Linked DNA regions of Xenopus tropicalis. The protein of the gene in region 2 interacts with the protein of the main gene of each other region in a biochemical or structural test. Links are inferred from orthologs where the notes say so. Each region holds a gene or a part of one and is shown on either strand. Other genes may lie near its edges. The genes, in order: gda, dlg3, cript, net1 and frmpd4.

The links.
Region 1: the proteins of dlg3 (region 2) and gda form a complex in vitro, tested with the Homo sapiens proteins (2 studies listed by BioGRID and IntAct, with this or other methods). The link is inferred for Xenopus tropicalis from reciprocal best matches to the Homo sapiens genes DLG3 and GDA.
Region 3: the proteins of dlg3 (region 2) and cript form a complex in vitro, tested with the Homo sapiens proteins (2 studies listed by BioGRID and IntAct, with this or other methods). The link is inferred for Xenopus tropicalis from reciprocal best matches to the Homo sapiens genes DLG3 and CRIPT.
Region 4: the proteins of dlg3 (region 2) and net1 interact in a test that uses a peptide from one of them, tested with the Homo sapiens proteins (2 studies listed by IntAct, with this or other methods). The link is inferred for Xenopus tropicalis from reciprocal best matches to the Homo sapiens genes DLG3 and NET1.
Region 5: the proteins of dlg3 (region 2) and frmpd4 interact in a test that uses a peptide from one of them, tested with the Homo sapiens proteins (2 studies listed by IntAct, with this or other methods). The link is inferred for Xenopus tropicalis from reciprocal best matches to the Homo sapiens genes DLG3 and FRMPD4.

The regions. Positions count from the first base shown.
Region 1 is NC_030677.2:130,496,573-130,500,621, reverse strand, and holds part of gda (guanine deaminase), read right to left. Parts: intron 3,452-4,049; coding exon 3,363-3,451; intron 2,506-3,362; coding exon 2,334-2,505; intron 1-2,333. UniProt on the Homo sapiens protein: Catalyzes the hydrolytic deamination of guanine, producing xanthine and ammonia.
Region 2 is NC_030684.2:44,856,310-44,860,358, reverse strand, and holds part of dlg3 (disks large homolog 3), read left to right. Parts: intron 1-434; coding exon 435-588; intron 589-4,049. UniProt on the Homo sapiens protein: Required for learning most likely through its role in synaptic plasticity following NMDA receptor signaling.
Region 3 is NC_030681.2:19,971,771-19,976,511, reverse strand, and holds the start of cript (cysteine-rich PDZ-binding protein), read right to left. Parts: upstream 3,075-4,741; 5' UTR 3,073-3,074; coding exon 3,057-3,072; intron 1,973-3,056; coding exon 1,907-1,972; intron 376-1,906; coding exon 321-375; intron 1-320. UniProt on the Homo sapiens protein: As a component of the minor spliceosome, involved in the splicing of U12-type introns in pre-mRNAs. Involved in the cytoskeletal anchoring of DLG4 in excitatory synapses.
Region 4 is NC_030679.2:84,690,400-84,694,448, forward strand, and holds part of net1 (neuroepithelial cell-transforming gene 1 protein), read right to left. Parts: intron 3,311-4,049; coding exon 3,203-3,310; intron 2,207-3,202; coding exon 2,039-2,206; intron 1,013-2,038; coding exon 853-1,012; intron 579-852; coding exon 502-578; intron 4-501; coding exon 1-3. UniProt on the Homo sapiens protein: Acts as a guanine nucleotide exchange factor (GEF) for RhoA GTPase. May be involved in activation of the SAPK/JNK pathway Stimulates genotoxic stress-induced RHOB activity in breast cancer cells leading to their cell death.
Region 5 is NC_030678.2:106,191,149-106,195,197, reverse strand, and holds part of frmpd4 (FERM and PDZ domain-containing protein 4), read left to right. Parts: intron 1-1,088; coding exon 1,089-1,134; intron 1,135-2,647; coding exon 2,648-2,752; intron 2,753-4,049. UniProt on the Homo sapiens protein: Positive regulator of dendritic spine morphogenesis and density. Required for the maintenance of excitatory synaptic transmission. Binds phosphatidylinositol 4,5-bisphosphate.

The DNA.
Region 1 (4,049 bases), on a different chromosome or scaffold from region 2:
ATTAAGGCAGGGGTGGCCAATACGTCGATCTTGGTCCACCAGTCGATCCCCCGTGGATTTCTGGTGGACTGCGATAAAGCCGCGGATGCTGAACTGTTGCGTGAATGCATACGTACGCGACGCAGCGTACATACACATTCACGCTGCACTTCCGCGTTCCCCGGTCATCGGTCAGACAAACTCTTAAAGGTTGTCTAAAAACTATGCTTGTCAGTTGCTGGTTCCCTAATTTTTTAAACGTTTTCAGATGGGATCCAAAACCAGGCTTTGTGTGGTTAAGAATAAAAAATGTACAGGATCTGGACAATTTATGAAACTTCCTAACTAAACAGTAATGGTGGCTACTGCTAAGTATCATGATAACTGAAAACAAAAGTTTCATATAATAAAATGTATTTTTATGCTAGAGCAAACTTCTTCAGCATGAAAGAAATGTCCTAATTTTTAATTCCTGCTTGGAATTTGCAGTGGGGATTAATTATTCAGATGGACTTGCTGCTGATCTGTAACACCCCACAGAGCAGAATGGTGCTAGACTTCTTGAAGCAATTTAACACATTCTTATGCATTTCACTAAAATATTTTCCTGATTGGATCCTACTAGAAAATGTTTAATAAATGGGGATTCCATTCCACACCTATTTCCTTTAACACTGTCTGCTATTTTTTGGCCCCAGTTCACAGGTAAGAAACCCTTGTTTTAAAAGCGCATTTTAATTCTTTCTAGTTTCTAATACCTACTGAAAACTGAATATGGTGCATTTAAACAGCAGAATACTATAGCTAGGGTTTTTTTCCAGACCCATCCTTGCCTATAGCCACCCCAAGCCTACCCACCCTCCGTCTTTAAAAGGAACTATTACTTAGACCAGTGCTGTCCAATTTCTGTGGTACGGAGGGCCGTAATTTTTCCGGCCTACATGATGGAGGGCTGATAATGGAAGCCAGTTTTGACCACTCCCCTTTTTTAAACCACACCTACTTGAAACCACACTTGTTATCACATGTCCATACTCATATTAATGGTGGTAGTACAGCAAAAACCTGCCACACTCTGCCTTCCCTACCCTGCCTGTGTGTGCCATACTCTACCTGCCCTATGTTGCCTGTGTGCCATACTCTGCCTGTCCTATGCTGCCTGTGGGTGCAATACTCTGCCTTCCCTACCCTGCCTGTGTGTGCCATACTCTACCTGCCCTATGTTGCCTGTGTGCCATACTCTGCCTGTCCTATGCTGCCTGTGGCTGCAATACTCTGCCTTCCCTACCCTGCCTGTGTGCCATACTCTACCTGCCCTATGTTGCCTGTGTGCCATACTCTGCCTGTCCTATGCTGCCTGTGGGTGCAATACTCTGCCTTCCCTACCCTGCCTGTGTGTGCCATACTCTACCTGCCCTATGTTGCCTGTGTGCCATACTCTGCCTGTCCTATGCTGCCTGTGGCTGCAATACTCTGCCTTCCCTACCCTGCCTGTGTGTGCCATACTCTACCTGCCCTATGTTGCCTGTGTGCCATACTCTGCCTGTCCTATGCTTCCTGTGGGTGCAATACTCTGCCTTCCCTACCCTGCCTGTGTGTGCCATACTCTACCTGCCCTATGTTGCCTGTGTGCCATACTCTGCCTGTCCTATGCTGCCTTTGGGTGCAATACTCTGCCTTCCCTACCCTGCCTGTGTGTGCCATACTTTGCCCGCCCTATGCTGCATGTGTGTGCCATACTCTGCCTGCCCTACCATGCCTTTGTATGCCATACTCTGCCTGCCATATGCTGCCTAGGGCAGGCAGAGTATGGCACACACAGAAAGCATACAGTGACACACTGCTGGCACTGCTCCTACGGTCTGCACAATAACTGTATATTAAAAAAACTTTTTAATTGCAGTACCACCTCAGTTTATTTTCTTTTTGTAGTGTAAATGGTTTATTTGTGGGTTTCTACAGCTCCTACAGCCTGTCTGAGGTGTGAACAGGTGAACAATGTGGGTGCTTATAGTCTGAGCCTGAGGTGTGAACAATGCAGTGGATGAACAATGCAGGGATTAAAAGGTGTGAACAACACAGAGGATTACATTTTTAAACAATACAGGGGAATTACATCTTGAATCTGAGGTGTGAGCAATGCAGGGGGCCAGTTAATCACAGTACTGATACCATTTAAAGCTTAAAGGACAAGGAAAGGCTAAGTCACTTGGGGGTGCCTAACATTTTGGCACCCCCAAGTGACTTTGCCTTTCCTTCTCCTTTAAACAAAGGTAAGTCATCAAACAGCCAGACAAGTGCAGGGGCCACAGAGAGGGGGGTAACGGGCCGCCAGTTGGACAGCACTCACTTACCACAACTGTTTCATAAATGTTGCTAGCAAGATCTAGATCAGAGAACTTTTCTTCTGTTGGGAACGTAATGTGTTCTAACCACTGCAGAAGTGGTCGGTCCATTCCTGATCCTATGAATGAGTACTGAGGGGCATGAATGTGAGTGTCTATCATTCCAGGCATGAAGAACTCACTAAAAGTAAAAAAATATGCAGGTAAATTAGTTTGATGGATAGATAGAAGATCAGTTTTTTTTTTTTTATCTAGCAGCCTCTTTATAAGTAAAAATTATGTATTCTGTTCTAATTTTTGTTTTACGTACTTATGTTATTACTTTCTTATGAACCTCATTTGACTCCAAAGCCAGGCCAAGTAGTACTGGCGCCTATAAACTGTCTGCCCTTTCCCCAGAAGCAAAAATATATTCTGAACAATTTGAACAAGACTTTCCTAGAGATGGTAGCTTTTTAATGCAATCATTTTTGCTGGAAGGCTTCTTCTACTGTTGCCATCTTACATGGCATAAACCATAATAAAGTGTTAAAACTGATAAGTGCTTCAGTAAATTGCAGAAAAATTCAGAACTACATTTTATAAAATTGAACACAAGGAGAATATTCCATGGGCTACAGCTCTTTCTACTGCTCCTTCTGTTATGTCTTGGAGAAGCAGGGAAGACATGGCAGACTGTGTGTCAGTGTAATATTAAACAAAACCTGATTATTTATCATTGTAAACATTTTATCTGACGATATGCATTACATACATTACATACATACATCAAATTTGCACTTTACTAAATGTTTGAATTTGTCAAAAATACAAACTGCATCTTGGAAGTACACAATTGATTCTGTCTGACACTAAAAAGTGCATGATTATTTCTGTTTAATAAAATATATTGGTTTTTGTATAGAATGATGAAACGTTTACTTTGAATTTGTGCTGCAAAAAGATTAATGTTGATGTAAATAAGCAAACATTGATAATCCATTCACTGTAACTGGGAAAGATGTGACAAGTAATAAATGTAAATATAGAGAAATTTACTTCTTGCCAAGGTCTTCAATTTTGCTCTCATCAAATTTCCACTTCAGAGCCAATTGCGCTTCCTTTTCAGCATGTTCTATAAATAAAATCTAAAATTAAAAAAAGAATCATGAATATACTGCCATATATCACAGCATAGTGAAAATTAATAGGGAATAACCTACCCCTATTGTACAACATAAGGAAATGAAACAAGTGCTTTTATAAAAGTTCTCAGGAGCCTTAAAAACCTTATAGGTAAATAGATGTAAATATTGCACTTATTGACACCATTCAATATAGGAACTTGGCATCCAATCACACTTCTTGCACTTTTCTCCATCCCGAACAAATGTGCAAACATGCGCATGCACAGTTGTGTTAGTTTTGACACATCAGCTGCAGTTGCAGCAGAAACAACTATCCCTGATAAAAAAAACAGCATTTTGGCCATTTCCCTGTATATGTAAATGAAATGAAAAAAGAGGGAAAGTAACAAAGGTGAAGGTGAAATGGGAGTGGAGCAAAATGGAAACAGGAATGAAGCAAAGAAGAGATGAGGAGGGGGCACAGAGGAGGGAAACATACCCTGAATGAGAGAGGAAGGGAATAGAACCAGAGGCCCACACCCATAGGACCCCCGTAATGCACATTAATGGAGCCTCTGCTTCATTTCTTATTAAACCCCCTCTTTGTGAGACTCCTAGA
Region 2 (4,049 bases):
CGAGGGGGAGTAATAATAGTTCTCATATATTTGTATGTTCCTTGTATAACCCCCCCAAACAGAAATGATACATACCCCTTACATATTAATGTTATTTTGCACAGAAAAAAATAGTTTTCAACACCAGCATGTCAATTAGCTGAAACACTTTGGCTCTTGTAATAATACAGTCACAGCAACCCCTAGTAACCAATCAGCAAATAATATTGATCTGATTGGTTCCGATTATCCTGGTGCTATTTTGTTAAACAAATTATTAACTAACCCAGCACATCACTAATTGTCTTGAATAATTTCCATTTGAGTACCTCACAGTCTGTTGCTTGCTTCTCAGTTTACCTTTCCTGTCCCCATTCTGCCTTTGTCTTTGTATTACTTTGTCATTCTTTAAAAAATATAAACTTTTTGTATTAATACAATCTAATTTTTTGCAGCTTTCACAGTAGATAACCACATAAGCCATAACTCCACTCTGGGGGCATACCTGAGCAGTATGGAAAGCAAGTCACCTTATCCACCACCCCAAGTTACCCCATCCAGATTCTCCCCAGTTCCTCGACATATGCTTGGAGAAGAAGACTTTACCAGGTAACCATTGTTTATGAGTGAGAAACTGATATAGAGCAGAATAATCTGCGGAATGATCATGCAGCATGGCAATGGAAGTGCGATGTTATAAATCCTATATTAATTGTATATTATCCTATATACTATATAATAATTTGTATATTAACTTTTAGAACCCTTATGGTGATTAATGTAGTTTCAATAAAAAGTAATATACAACTGTCAAGCTGCATTAATTGTTTACCCAGCTTCAGTGATTTGTTATTTATAAGTATTTATATGAAAAATGTTTCCTGGTGGTTTTATTTAACATTAGGGATAGGAAACCATTAGTGAGCTGGTGTGTACAAATGACAACTCATTAGGTTGTAGTTTTTATCAATCACCGTAATAACAAATATGGAGTCTATCGAAAATCACCAGTCCTTGACACAATAATGAAGCCATAGATATGTGTTCAGGGATTTCTACTATAGCTACAATATAATACAAATTAGGGATCTATTACCCTAAATCCAAATATCTATAGAGTTCAGAACTACTACTGACAATTCCCCTAATATAAACAATTCCTCATTTTAGACTGATTTATTCACTAGCATAAATCTATGTTACAAGGACACTATACCCCGCTTTCCAACACTTTTCCATTTTTTTAATGGAAATATCTATGCTTTATGTCATATGAGGAAATTGTACATTGAAGGGGTTTGTTTATACAGAGGTCGTCTCAGTAGCCATTTTTAATAAATAGGTACCTGAGGGCTGGTTCCTAGGCTGGCCTCACATACCTATATAGAATTTTTTCCCTAAACATTTAAAGCCCTCAGCTTTATTAATATTTAGCATGCAGCTATATCCATTCTCTGTAGTTTTGGGCACATTGTTTCCCACAGGGATTATGATCTCTTCCTTAGGACCCATGAACTGGCAGACAAGGATTATGTAGCTGCCCCAGTACAGTATATGTGATTCTAGTTGGCCTACTCATGTGATTTCCCACTAAGCCCTGCAAGCTGTAGTTGGGTATGTTTAGTGTAGCTTTGTGAGATTGTCTAGGATTTATTATTCTCACTGTGAAGTAAACAAATAAGAGAATATCAGTAAACAGCAACAAACGTGTGACTTGATATTCTACTAAGTGCAATGTTTGCCTTTAAATTGTAAGTATAATGCCCTGTGCACAATGTGATGGAGCTGACATGTGTCAACAGGCCTTAAAGGGATCATTCACCTCCACAAAGCTCACTGTTTAAATAGCACACTGCCCTCCTTCTGAAGTTACCGAAAAGCAGCTCACTATGCCTGGTAACCCACTCGTTTTGGACAATTTAACCGTTCAACAGCAGCAGCTTCAGTACCTGAGCCAGCATTGGTTACAATTAGGTGCATTTGTTGCTGATGATGTACTGCTGCTATATGCAATATGGCAAAATGTATCCAGACACTTGGCTGCCTCACATCTTATTTCTATGTTAAGGGGTGTATTTATTAACAATGGAGACAAACATCACCAGTGATGTTTGTCTCTAATGTTAATAAATACTTCCCCAAGGGTACTAATATGGAGTTAATGTTAAAACAGCCATTGTCCTATAGGCTTCTGGGAAGGCTTTCCACTAGACATTGTGGCTATTGGCTTCCTTTCATACATAAGAGGCTGAACACTGAATTTTGGGTGTGGCTTAAATAGCCTACTACAGTAATTAGAAGCGTTGCCCACTTTTGGACCACACAGTACATATAAAATTACATACTACACCCTGTATTAAGCATTTTCTGTGGCCATACATAGGCCACCTACTTCATGCAATATTGTAATTATGGACTGCAGTGTATAATGTCCATCTATACTGAACCCTCATAAAATACATGGATAATATAACAAAACTACACTATTCAAAATCAGCCATTTAGGTGCCTGGTGGCATTTCTTTTAATATCACAGTGAAAGGGGGAACACCTAATGTGGGGCTGCAGAGAATTCTCAGTTCTTCTTTGACAATGACTTCTAATCATTGCTATTTAAAGGGAAATCACCACTGAAATAAAAATAGTTGCTAGTCTCCTTTATTATGGAGCTGTGTGAGCAGTTAATATGTGGCTGTATTTGCAGCGATATGGCATCCTTGGTACAGCTACAATTAGCATTGCAAAGTGACTCCACCATTGCTCCTTGCTGTGAAAATAGCAGGGATGAGGCTCAGTAATAGGGTACCTGTCACTCATTGTCTGCCATGAATCTGCCACCCCATTAAGTGAATAGGTGTCTGTTGGACATGCCATGCTGATGAGCACAAGAGATCCCAATTGCAGCTGTCTGCAAATACAGCCCTGTGCTAATTGATAGCTTTGCTATAGATTCTTTTCTATTAAGCAAAGTCCTGGAGCTGACCAGCTAATCTAATAGAAACAATTCACAGACTGTGAATTTATGCCTGTGTAAATATATATTAATAATTATTGCAAAAAAATAGTATTAGTAGCCAAAATATGTAAGCTCACATGCCATTTTAAGCCCCCCCACTCTCCACTCCCCACACCATTGCTTCTCCTAGGAAAAAAATGCTTCAGCCCAGGGAAAACAAAAGGTTGGAGAATAAGGATAAGGATCCTCTCCTTAATGAACTGAGGTTTAAAAGCTTCCCTGCTTGTTTCATCATATAATAATCAAGGCTATTGTGATGTTAAGGTACATATTACAAATTAAATATGTAACTATTTAAACTAGGGGTCCTGAGTCAAGAATCAGTGCAGCATGGTCACCCATTAGTCATACCTCCCAACTGTCCCGATTTTCGGGGGACAGTCCCTCTTTTGACAGCTCAACCTGCACAATCCCCGATTCTTACTGAAAAGTCCCTCATTTCCCTTTGATCTCCCCCACTGAATGCTAAAAAAGATACAAATTTAATTAAAAGTAGCTTTTGGCACAGAGCCCAGAAATCTTAACGCGCGTCACCTGCACTTAGAAACATTGTCTCTCACTTTTAATTAAATAAGTAGCTTTTGGCAGAGAGCCCAGAAAGGTAAAAATCCCCCGCTGCACTGAGATACAATTGTAACTAATAAGCTAAACAGGTCTCTTGTGGGAAATGAGACTCGCAGCTTAAAGGGCAATTTCACCTTTTTCAGCAAAACTGTAATAACACATAAAACAGGACCCCAAATCCCCCCAGAAATGTGTTCAAAGTTTAAATAACCTGCCAAATTTAGTCAAATGGGAGTGGTATTTAGGGCTTGTGGTCGCAAAAATGGACGTGGTCAAACAAATTTGTCACGAGCAGTGCGGCGTTTGTTTCTGTCCCTCTTTCCGTTTTCAAAATGTTGGGAAGTATGCATTAGTCCATATTGTTGCTGGTCATTAATGAGTATAGATTTTATACACCAATACCCAGTGCAGAACTCTTGATGTGACTTAAATCTTTACATATTTTGGCCATTATTTCGCCATATACTTATATACTGTATAATTAAACAGG
Region 3 (4,741 bases), on a different chromosome or scaffold from region 2:
GTATAGAAATGCCGTTTCCTTTGTACTGAAATTTCTGTATAAGCCCAGAAGTTCCCAGTCCTATAACAGTAATAAGAGATATTCACAGCCGCTCCCCATCATTCTGATCTTGTTGGGCCATTTCTATGGTGTCAGTGACACCGCACATGCTCAATCTACTTTGAGCTGCAGTAAAGCAGTTAAGCCTAGTGATTGTCACAAATCCTCAAAATATTTGAGGATATTTGAAAGTGAGTTACAATAGGCAAAAAGTATGTTCACAGCAAACCCTATACACTGAACTCAAGTTGAAAAGGAGACACTGTGTGATTAGTACTCACCTTGCAGTCTTTGATGTCAGTGCCTTGTTCTCATTTAGTTTTCTGCCTCCACTTTCTGTGTAAAGAGAGAGAAAAATCAATAACCAGAAGAATACTGTAATAATCCTTTCCCACAGAAGCCAAATGTGTTTGTTTAATTAAATAAATTAGAAATATAAGCCTCCCATCAAGTCCCCCATTTGAAACATTGTACATAATACTATAGAGAGGTTACCAGCTCCAGGACTTAGGGGCCATAGGCAAACAAATGAAATATTTTGGATTTTTTCTTTTACTTGAGCAAACATTAATTCTGACAGGGACTGTTGTGCCAAAACAAGACAAAAAAATACTGCCTATTAAAATAAACAAACAGTGGCATATTCACTAAAGAAGGCTTACGTGTGAATGGAACAATTCATCAAAAAATGAAAGTCCGCCACCCCAGTTGAAAATAAGCCTTAACCAGGTAGACCAAACAGAGCAGTTTTAGGGGTCCCTGGTGGTGCAGTTCTGGAGGAGGGAGGGAAGACTCTGGAAGTGGCCATGGCTTCAAACAGCCTCCTTTGGGTAAGCCAGTCACTGAATAAACTAAACCGACTGTTTTTCAAGCAAAAAAGTGTATTTTATACCATATTTATTTAGAAAAAAATAGCTTATCATCAATTTACAATAGGCAATAAAAATATCAGTTAATGCTTTTAATTGCATTACTCTGCTAATATTAGCTAGATACATGCAGCGATAACATTTCAGGTAAAGAGATTGTTAAAAAATGGCTAAAGATAATAACTGGTGGCACTTCATGGAGGCATTAAAGGAGAAGAAGTCATTTTGGCATTTAACTGCCAATAGGTTTGCCACATTAGTGCCACCTAGAACACTATATTTATTCTGCAGAAAGCATTGCCATACTTGAGTAAAGAGCCCTAGAAGCTTTCTCTTTTTAAGATTGCAGCTGCCATTTTAGCTTGGTCTCCATAGCTTCCTGTTTGCAGTCTAGCGTTATAGCTCAGATTACACATTCCTAAGGGAGGGGGGAGTGAGTCTTATGAATTCTTATGGGAGGGGGGAGCAGGAGAGAGGAGAGAGCTGCACTGACTCTGGTCACAGGAATGAAGGATTTTTCTGAGAGAGAAAGTCAGATACCCTAAGAACATGTTTACAAAAAAGTAGACAAGAAATCCTGTGTTTCTTTTGACAGAGGACTCAGTGCAGCGTTTCTGTGAGTGCTTATGACTGTATTTACATAGACCTTTCTGATAAAGTTTACTTAGTTTTTACCTTTCCTTCTCCTTTAACCAATGAGTTTATTCATATAAGCCTTTAGTGTACAAATGTTTTGCTTGTGTACTTATTAAGGGAAGCTGCATAGGTGGCAGAGGCACACTTTGAAGCCTTTAATAACACAGCACAACAGGTTCAGCCCTTAAATGTCACCATATATTTTACAAAAAAAATAAATATTAAAGTCTGCCTTTATATAAACAATATCTGGCCTTTATAATAGGATCAAAGTTCTGCCTCTGAAAGACTGGGAAGAGCAAGAAGTGCTAGTGGATTGATACACAATAATGCAAATCCGATTAAATGGCACCACAACTTACCAGTGGTATTCCTGGCACCGGATTTCCATGTGTCTGGAGTGATAACTGTGCCCAGTTTCTTCTCACCTGTCATTAAATACACGTCATTAGTTAATGCTGCTCCTGCACACACATATCCCTATCTACGTCCTTAAAGGAATACTGTCATGGGAAAACACGTTTTTTTCAAAACCCATCAGTTAATAGAGCTTCTGCAGCAGAATCCTGCATTGTAATCTGTTTTTCAAATATACAAACAGATTTTTTTTATATTTAATTTTGAAATTTCACATGGGGCTAGCCATATTCTTCATTTCCCAGGGTGCCACAGCCATGTAACCTGTGCTCTGATAAACTTCAATCACAATTTACTGCTGCGCTGCAAGTTGGAGTGATATCCCCCGCCCCCTCCCAGCAGCCGATCAGCAGAACAATGGGAAGGGAGCAAGATAGCAGCTCCCAGTAGGTATCAGAATAGCACTCAATAGTAAGAAATCCAAGTCCGGCTTGGGACTCCTCCAGTTACATGGGAGTAGGAGAAACAATAGGTTAGCTGAAAGCAGTTCTAATGTGTAGCGCTGGCTGAAAGCTCAGACTCAGGCACAAGGCACTGAGATGGCGCCTACACACCAATATTACAGCTACAAATACATTTGTTGGTTCAAGAATAACATTTTAAATGGCAGAGTGAATTATTTGCTATGTAAACAGTGTAATTTAGAAATAAAAAGTATACCACATAAGTCATGACATTATCCCTTTAAAAACAACAGTAATTACATTCTCCCATACAGGTATCCAAAAACGTCAATGAGATAATCAGAATATATAGTGACAATGAGCAATACAGTCAGGGAGAATAGTAATAGCCGGCAGCACAGTAAGTATATTACTACGTATTGCGAACAGCGGATAAACCAGAGCTACAGCTATGTCTGCTTTATTTATTACTAACAGTAGGCACCCCTAGCAACCAACCAGCCATTGGCTTTGCTCAGCCAGTTGCGCAGACGAATGTGAAGGATAATATAAACAGGACGCCATGGTTTACAGCTGCTCGGCAAATGTATCCAATGGCAGGTGTAAGCGTTACCCACATAACACGGCTCTATGGGAGCTGCCCGGTACCAGGAAATACACCCAGCGAGATTAAACCCGGTTTGTTACTTACACTTATCGCACACCATGTCCCACTCCGGTCACACCAACAATCACACGGCTCTTGTCAACAAAGTTCCTTAGGAACGTCACTTCCGGATCTCGTCACCACCAATGGAAACCGCTCCGGAACGTCAACGTCAGTTGGCGGAAGCCGCCGCCTGATTGGCTTATGTGACTGTCTATCAAACACAGCTTCTGCTCCTTTTCAGGTGAGGGAGGAGGAACCAGAACCAGAAGTGGTGCAGGGTCAATGAGCGCACAGGTGAGTATTGGGAGACACAGCGGGACTTCCCTTCTACCCTTATATATATATATATATATATATATAGCTCAGTCTGTGGGAGTTTTGGTGCTGTTGAGCTACAGCTGCTTCCTTCCATTGGTGTGTTTGCATAAGCTCCTAGGGGGAGTGATGGGAGTTGTAGTAAAGACAATTAGCAACATGGGGTGTTCAGCCTGAAGGCCAGTTAGGGGAGATTGCCCATTACATACACAGCCCAGCCTGAAGGGCCAGTTAGGGGAGATTGCCCATTCTGTGGCTACATACACAGCCCAGCCTGAAGGCCAGTTAGGGGAGATTGCCCATTCTGTGGCTACATACACAGGGCAGCCTGAAGGCCAGTTAGGGGAGATTGCCCATTCTGTGGCTACATACACAGGGCAGCCTGAAGGCCAGTTAGGGGAGATTGCCCATTCTGTGGCTACATACACAGGCCAGCCTGAAGGCCAGTTAGGGGAGATTGCCCATTCTGTGGCTACATACACAGCCCAGCCTGAAGGCCAGTTAGGGGAGATTGCCCATTCTGTGGCTACATACACAGGGCAGCCCAGCCTGAAGGCCAGTTAGGGGAGATTGCCCATTCTGTGGCTACATACACAGCCCAGCCTGAAGGCCAGTTAGGGGAGATTGCCCATTCTGTGGCTACATACACAGCCCAGCCTGAAGGCCAGTTAGGGGAGATTGCCCATTCTGTGGCTACATACACAGCCCAGCCTGAAGGCCAGTTAGGGGAGATTGCCCATTCTGTGGCTACATACACAGGGCAGCCCAGCCTGAAGGCCAGTCAGGGGAGATTGCCCATTCTGTGGCTACATACACAGCCCAGCCTGAAGGCCAGTTAGGGGAGATTGCCCATTCTGTGGCTACATACACAGCCCAGCCTGAAGGCCAGTTAGGGGAGATTGCCCATTCTGTGGCTACATACACAGCCCAGCCTGAAGGCCAGTTAGGGGAGATTGCCCATTCTGTGGCTACATACACAGGGCAGCCCAGCCTGCAGGCCAGTTAGGGGAGATTGCCCATTCTGTGGCTACATACACAGCCCAGCCTGAAGGCCAGTTAGGGGAGATTGCCCATTCTGTGGCTACATACACAGGGCAGCCCAGCCTGAAGGCCAGTTAGGGGAGATTGCCCATTCTGTGGCTACATACACAGGGCAGCCTGAAGGCCAGTTAGGGGAGATTGCATAGGCGGAGGGTGACTTTTTTGTTTGGGGAGGCTAAATATGGGCCATACATAGACTGACATAAAGCTAATGTGAGACTTAGTGGATTCGCTGCTGGTGTAAATAATGAACCTCCCAACTACCTCTTGTGGTTCCCACTGACTCCCAGGGATACTGCGCAAAAGTGCGGGTGGAGTGCGAGTGTTTTTTTAACCCTAAAATGCTTAGGATGTAAAAGTATTCATACAGG
Region 4 (4,049 bases), on a different chromosome or scaffold from region 2:
TAACTGTAAATAAAGAAAACATTACTAAAGGCACTTCTTGCATTACTCTTTACTGAACAGGAATTCAGTAGCACAAAAGGACTTGTACAAGGTAAACCTGTTCTAGAAAACTATTCTTGCATGGTACGCCCCTGGTAAAGACTAGCAATCAAGTAGGTTTCCTCATTGTCCCAAAACGGTAGCCAGATTATTATCTTGAAGCCCCAGGCATTGCAGTAATTGCCTTGTATTGTATGTTCTAAATGGGGATTCTCAGTTAACAATAGGAAGTGATAGAAGACAACTCCTTTGTTTTGTATCTCAGCTACTTGCAGCAATAGTACATAGAATGCTTACTGTTCACAAAACTCACCAATAGTAAGTACACAGAATCACCAAGGCTCTATAAGTAACTAAGTACTATTACTAAGTACTATTAGTAATGTATTTTTATATTTAACTCCCACTACAGTGCTGCAAAAATGGTTTAACAGTAAAAGACATCTAATGTAGGTTACTTACCCAATTAATGAGAATGGGACCAATCTGACCAACTGTCCCATCTGCCTTTGTTGCTTCCCCAAGTTTAGCAAGCAATTCTGAAAAATAGAAGACAGATTTTAAATTAAATTAGGCTTTGGTCACCTATATAACTTATGTCACTTTAAAATTACAAAATTCTCCATATTTAAAGGGGGTTAGGTTAATAAAGAGATTTAAATACAAAACAGAACACACATAGCTGTAGAACCAGCTTAGGTTAGTATAAGTCAGAGCTCAGACATGTGGGGGGTACAAGATTCATACATTTAAGATCTGTGTATAGGCTGCCTTAATTTTCCTTTTTTACGGTGCCTTACGGTGCTAACTTACCTTCATGAAGAGGAATGTAGGAATCTAAATCTCCAAATATCTGTGTTAGTTCTTCCTCAGACATAATAGAAAGCTTTAGCATCGGGTCATGATAGGCCTTCCTTGCCAACTTTAGATCATCAATAAGGTCTTGCTCTCCCTTGGTCATTTCAAATATTGCCTGATAGGAAAACATTCAGGTTACAAATCTACAGGACAAAGGAGCACCACTTAAATGCAGCATATGTGGGATGGGATTTTCTCTGTATATCTGAAAGAACCTCATAAAAGGTTGATTTAAACACAGGACTGTTTGGCCCTAGCATGTGGAAATGGGCTGCTAGTTTAGTTAAGGAGGTTGAAGTAGCCACAAAAAATGCCTTGTCCTAAGAAACAGCTACTACTGTGAAGGTTTGAAAAGATTTGTTTATGTTCTAACCATTTGAAAAGAAGGAGCTTGTATTTTAGCTGTAGTTTACCCTTTAATATCCATGTTGAAAAACTTTATTGCTGTTCAAAGGTTGTACTGCTATGATTGCTCTTGGTCAGTTCAAAGGTTTAACAGCCTGGAGTAAGACCCTGCATGTTCAGGATAACCAATAACAGAGCTTAACTAGCCAAAAATACTGAACAAAAACACAAGAGCAAGTAAATGGCAAGCTGTAAAAAATCTGTCCTGTGGGCCTCATTCTAGCATATCATGTATATATTTTGCAGTTACTTTTAATTTTTACAGTGACTTTCAGGACACAGCAGGAAGCAATTGCTTTAGGCCTGCAGAATCATACTTCTCCCTCTTGGAGAGCGCATTCCCTTCATAAAATCATTTATTACTTTATCCAACAATCTTAAGTATTTTAATCTGATTTCTCACATATGGCCTGACAACTGATGATGAGCTACAACCACCAGCATTCTCACTTTTAAGGCTGCAGGAAGTTGTAGAAAAGCAGCTGATGGGTATATACACACTAATAACAGTGTTCCCTACATTGCAAAAAGCTAGGATGTTTAAAGCCTCAGCCTATTTGACTAATCCCACATATTTAAGCAATCCTAACAATTTAGGTTCAATGTAATCATAAGGTATTGCACCGATTAACCAATAATAAAGGTAAGATGTCTCCAACAAAGGAAGGGATAACAATGTAACCGCAAATTACATTGATAACAGCATGCAAAAAATATCCTTAATTGTTTAACTTGCCTCTTGCCGTTTTATTTCTTTGGTGCTCAGAGATTCCTTCATATTAATATCTAGCATTTCAGACCACAAAACACTGTTCCTTCTTTTGGGTGGGGTAGGTGCAGCCACCTTGCTACAAGCTTTCTGTGTACCGCCTGGAGACTTGTTTTCGGCTCGCATTGTAAATGACTGGCAAGAAAAAACATGTTTGAAGCTGTTCAGTGCTTGAATTCTCTTGAAACCCACTGGTCAGGTTTAAACAAGTAAAGTCAACATTTTAGTAGAAGGGGTATTTCTCATAAACACTTATATGCAACACAAAATCAGTTAAGGAAACAAAAAAACCCAGAAACCTCAGTGATCAAATCTAAGCAGGCCAGAGCTTAGATTAACTGTAGCACGAACACTGCTTATAAAGATTACAGAAAGTGTACACAGTGCATTCAATAAACAACCTATACTCAGGTCAGTTTCCTCAGGAGTCAATTCAACTGCATGTATAAATGTAATAGGGACCTTACAGTTTAAAGGAATACGGTCATTAAAAAACATGTTTTTTCCCTAAAACATATCAGTTAATAGTGCTGCTCTAGCAGAATCCTACATGGAAAATGCAAACAGATTTTTTTTTTTTATATTAAATTCTAAAATTCCACATAGGGCTAGCCATGTTCTTTCAGGGTGCCACAGTTATGAGATTTTGTACTCTGATAAACTTCAGTCACACTTTACTGCTGTGCTGCAAGTTAGAGTATTATCACCCCACCCCTTCTACCCCCCCCCCCCCCCCCAAACAGCAGCCAATCAGCAGAACAATGGGAAGGTAGCAAGATAGTAGCTACCTGACACATGTAAAGTGGTAGATGTCAGAATAGCACTCAATAGTAAAAAAAATTTCCAAGTTCAGCTTGGGACTCCAGTTACATGGGAGTAGGAGAAACAATAGGTTATCTGAAAGCAGTTTTAATGTGTAACACTGGCTCCTTCTGAAAGCTCAGACTCAGGCACAATGCACTGAGATGGCTGCCTACACACCAGTATTACAACTAAAAAAATACATTAGTTGGTTCACGAATAAAACAGTGTAGTTTAGAAACAAAAAGTAAATCATAAAAATCATGAGAGAATCAGTTTAAGCTCATTTGTTGGTCTGAAATAAAGAATAATACTACAAACTGGCAGTACCTGGATGGTTTGGCCAAAACGTCTGACTGCGCCATTTCTTACAGGAGAGATTAGATTTGCCAATGATGTGACTCGCGATAGAGGCCGAACTCTCTTAGTGCTTGGCTCCTACAAAACAGACATATCTCAACATTAGGCGCAATATTCTGTGGGAGAAAGAACAGCAATTATGAAATGCTAACTAGAACACAACAAAATTAAAGAAGTGTATGAATCATCCACCTTTGTTATGTTGGCTGTATATTGTTAGATAAAATAATTCATGTTATAGTACACAGTAAAAATGTAGGGCCCACATTGAGCAAAAGAAACTGTAGCGCCTAATAAACAAAGATAAAAAGCTTATTTTAAAATCTTAAGATATGATTTACATAATGGTAAAATATACTCAGGAGAAGACAGTATAACAGGTCAAACTCTTATAGGGATAACAAAAAGACTGAAAAGAATCAACTTTCACCTGCCCAAACGGCTCCCAACACCCTCAGCAGCTGAAGGATACCAGGAGTTGTTTTACATGACAACATAAGGAGAAACAAAACGACTGAATTATCCTAGTACATCTTCAGGATCACAACTTGCCTAGCAATACACAGCAGGTCTGCCTATACACAAGGTCAGTATGCGTAATTAATAACAGTAACTGTTGAGGCAGAGTTGAACTCCCAACACAAAAAGCAACTCCTTCCGAGCAAAATGGTATGAAATGCAAACTGGCAAGGGAATGCTAATTTCCTGGCATAACAATGAAGTATAGAGATTAACCTAAACAAGTGTGATCTGTGTACTTTAGAATATTTTCACAACAACAAGAACCCAAGGTGAAACATGAGCTTAGAGAAAATCC
Region 5 (4,049 bases), on a different chromosome or scaffold from region 2:
TCTGTTTTGCCTGTCAACCCCTTTGACTCTCTTCTCCTCTTTCACTTTATTTACATGTATAAAATCTGATTCGACTTTATGCCACATGATCTTTGTCACTGATTATAATATACACAGTACTGCATCTTGAAGTAACAAACACTGTATGTCAAATAATGCTGTTAAAACCAAATAAAATTTAAGTTACAAAAAAAATACTTGGTGATGACAAAACAATTTTACATTTATTTTGTTAATATTATAGGTGTTTAAGTAACCTTAAGGCACAGGGATGTACCATAAATAAAAACAGTTCCTCTCTATCTTGTATTTATTAGTACATGTGACAATTATCCCCCCAAAAAAGTAGATCACATTTTGAAAATAACAAATAATAAAATTTATTATGAATATAAGTACACGTCCTTTTGCTGTCTGAACTAGACAATATTCCAATTAACATCAATGAATATCAAATTAATATTTGAATTAGTGTTTTGTAGATTATTTAGTACAAAAATGGCAAGTTGTACGGTGCAAAACATGGCTGCAATTCACCATGCTCTTTTCACTTTGCACCCTGCCCTGCACATAGGTTAAAAACAAGGTGCTGAGATCTGTATTTGCACATGAATACAGTGCTGTCCAGCCAGGCCTGGTAGTAAGGACAATGTTACCTTGCTCACTATGCTAGCTTTTGTGCCCCTTTACTTCTCTAGCACCTGCATCCGGGGTCTCAGTAAATGGCCCCTTATAAGTCCCATTAAAGCAAATCTCTGGTGAATCCTAACCATTTTCTATATGCAACTCTCTGCATACAGGCAGAATCAAGGGTTTTCACAGATGAATTCAAATATATTTATCAGATGATTCAAATAGATCATAGATCAACAGATTTGTTCTGGAGATTTGCCCATGTTACTTGCTAAAGAGCAGGCAGCATGACTTGCTTGCATTCTTGGGGGTGGTGCTGTGTCAGTAAATCACTTTAGTTTATTTATTTTATCAATGGATGAGGCAAAATCATGGGTTACTGTAAATCTATACATTGCAAATGAAAGACATATTTCCTTAAAGTGACTTATACTCTTTTTTGTTCTTTCTTACAGAAGCTGCAAAGAATCAATCCTACTTACAGTCGTGCAACCGTACCCAGTAAGTACAATGGGAACAGCATGGAAAATGGTGTCTTTATTGAAAGTGATATTATATTCCATAATTCTATTTTAATAAATAAAGTAGATTTATAGTATTTACCATAATGAAGTAATATTTATTGTGAACAATTTAAAATGGAGCTAAAACCCCCACTCTACATTTTTGTTAGCCCCCTGCACATGCTTTAATTGAAGCTATTTTTATTATCAATATGCTTATTATCAATACTGATAATACTGAAAATCTAACCATTTTGTCTCTCTTCCAAGACTGAAGTATTTTGCTTCTAAAGATAACTTGCACATTAGCTAGGGGCTCAGCAATTTCACAAAATAATAATGTTTCCACCAAAAAATGAATTTGAGGCAACAGAAAACACACTAAGGGGCAGATTTATCTAAATGTGAGTTTAAAGCTTAATACATAAAAAACTCACCATTTTCCATTCATTCCTATGGGATTTAGAGATGAAAGTTAGAACTCCCCATTTAATAAATCTGCTTCAAAAAATCTTATAAGAATGACTAGAAATCTGCCCCTTAGTGTTTTTTTCTGTTGCCTCAAATTCATTTTTTGGTGGAAACATTATTATTTTATGAAATTGCTGAGCCCCTAGCTAGTGTGCCAAGTTATCTTTAGAAGCAAAATACTTTACTCTTGGAAGAAAGACAAAATGGAAAATGGAAAAACAAGATGTTATGAACTGTTCAAGTAACACATGATCACATCATCATTTGTCTATTAGGCATTTGGTATATATATTCCCTGCACTGGGACTTTGCCTATAAAATAGTTTATCTGATCTAATGACAGTACAGCAGGTAGCATTTACAAGTCTTCGCTTCCAAAGAAAACATTTGACTGGCCACTATAGGTTATTAGCTCTGGAGTAACTTGCCCTTAACACCCTCCTCTATACATTGCAACCACATATTTCTATGTAGCCAGCAGTGTGCAAATAAATTGTACCATAATTGGAATCTTTGAAGCCATTTCAAGGTAACAAAAAAGCCATGGATGTGTTGGCTAAGAAAGTATAAGGGCTAGAATTCAGGCCCACATAAGGGCACTTTCAATCATCATGAATTTTTTCCACAATACATTGTTTCCCCCCACAATTAATGTGTCATTGCACACACAAGCAGATGTTGAATTAGATGCATATCACGCTTGCGTCATCAAAATGAGCAAAATGAGCACGAGCATACACTTGGCTGGAAATCGGACGCAATTGTGCCAAATATTTTTTCAGTCTGCCTTGTGTCAGTTCCCGTGTTTGGCATGTGAATGATGTCTGTGCTGGATTCTTTAGGTGTAAGTGCACTGTGTCTATTGAGGCAGGGCACTGAGGGAACCCTGGAGCTACCACCTGGTCAGGCGTGACAGAAGTTCCACGGTCCCGACCTTTCCATGATAATATAGGCATAACGTAAGATTAGGTGTCGTTGTCTAAGTACATTTGCGTAAATGTTATTTTTCACATGCTTTATCATGTTTTTTCCCCCTGAAGTCTCCCAAATCCGCATTTATTAGTGCTGCAAAAAAAGCCAGACTGAAGTCCAACCCAGTTAAAGTGCGATTCTCAGAAGAAGTGATAATCAATGGCCAGGTTTCGGTAAGTGCTAATAGTAAATCTGAGGCTGATAAAAGTGAAGTTTACATGAGTTGCTTGCTTACTGTAATAATACAATTTTAAAATTAAATTTTTAACATTAAATTGGAACATTTATTCTTTAAATATGTCTTATAATGTTAAAATTTACACTAATTTAAGTCAGTCAGGATAGACTCCACACAAGATACACTTTGCAAACTAAAGCTTTCCATGCATGGCCCCATATTTGGCTGCTTCTAAATGCAGACAGGGGGAGCGCTGACACAGCAAGTAACTTGCAACCCAAGTCACTTAATAAAGGGCACTAGAGGGGCCTGAAACATGTTGTGTACAACACTTTAATCAAGATGTGTTGCAAGTTACTGTTTGCATTTGGAAGCTTCTATATGTGGAATACAGTGGAGTCTGGAAAGGCTGTGGGCTGATTATGGATACATTGCTATTAGCCATTTTGGCTGGTGATTGGTTGGCAGCTTATTGACCTGTGTACCAGACCAGAATGATGTATTCGCCAATTGATCACTGGCAGGGATACAAATGATAGGATAGGATAAACATGCTTTTGGTCACCTTGTTGATCAAATGGATGGCCAGCACAATTGTAACCATGTGTAAATAATACAATACAAAATATAAAATAATGTTAAGATAATTTTCAAAGATACAGCTATATTCTATAAGTGATCTTTCCCGTCTTTTGCCGATATACACCAGTACTAAGCCTCCTTAGAATACAATAATGTATGTAAATATCCTAATATAGTGTCAAGGCAAGGTACAAAGCACAATAATGAGTGCAGTGCACACTGCCTCACTGTCTGGTATTTATTTCCTGTGATACACAATTGCCAAAATGGAGCACAGTGACCTGTGGTTACTCACATGAATACTATAGTGCCTGCATTTGCTAGCGCTGTATTCATAAGGGAAAGAGGAAGCATATAGCTGTCCCTGCTACTGCCCCCTGCTTATGAGGGAATAGTGTTTCCGACAAATTCTCGGCTGTATCCTGTGATAGGATACTATTTAACACCTGTCATGCCCCTACATCATGTTGTGGACTTTTTTATTGAGTATTGGGAAATGTAGGTGGTTACTGGTATGACATGGATTTGTTGTCATGTTTTTAACAAACATACTTGTGTCTTCATAATTGATTGTTGGGACATATGCTCATAGTCTTTTTTGATTGGCTTAAACATAAGTCCACTCGATTTAAATTTAATTTCATCACTCAGAAGTATATCAGCCATTAAAAATGCAATGCGCCAGGATTCCTACAATTTGTATTTTCATT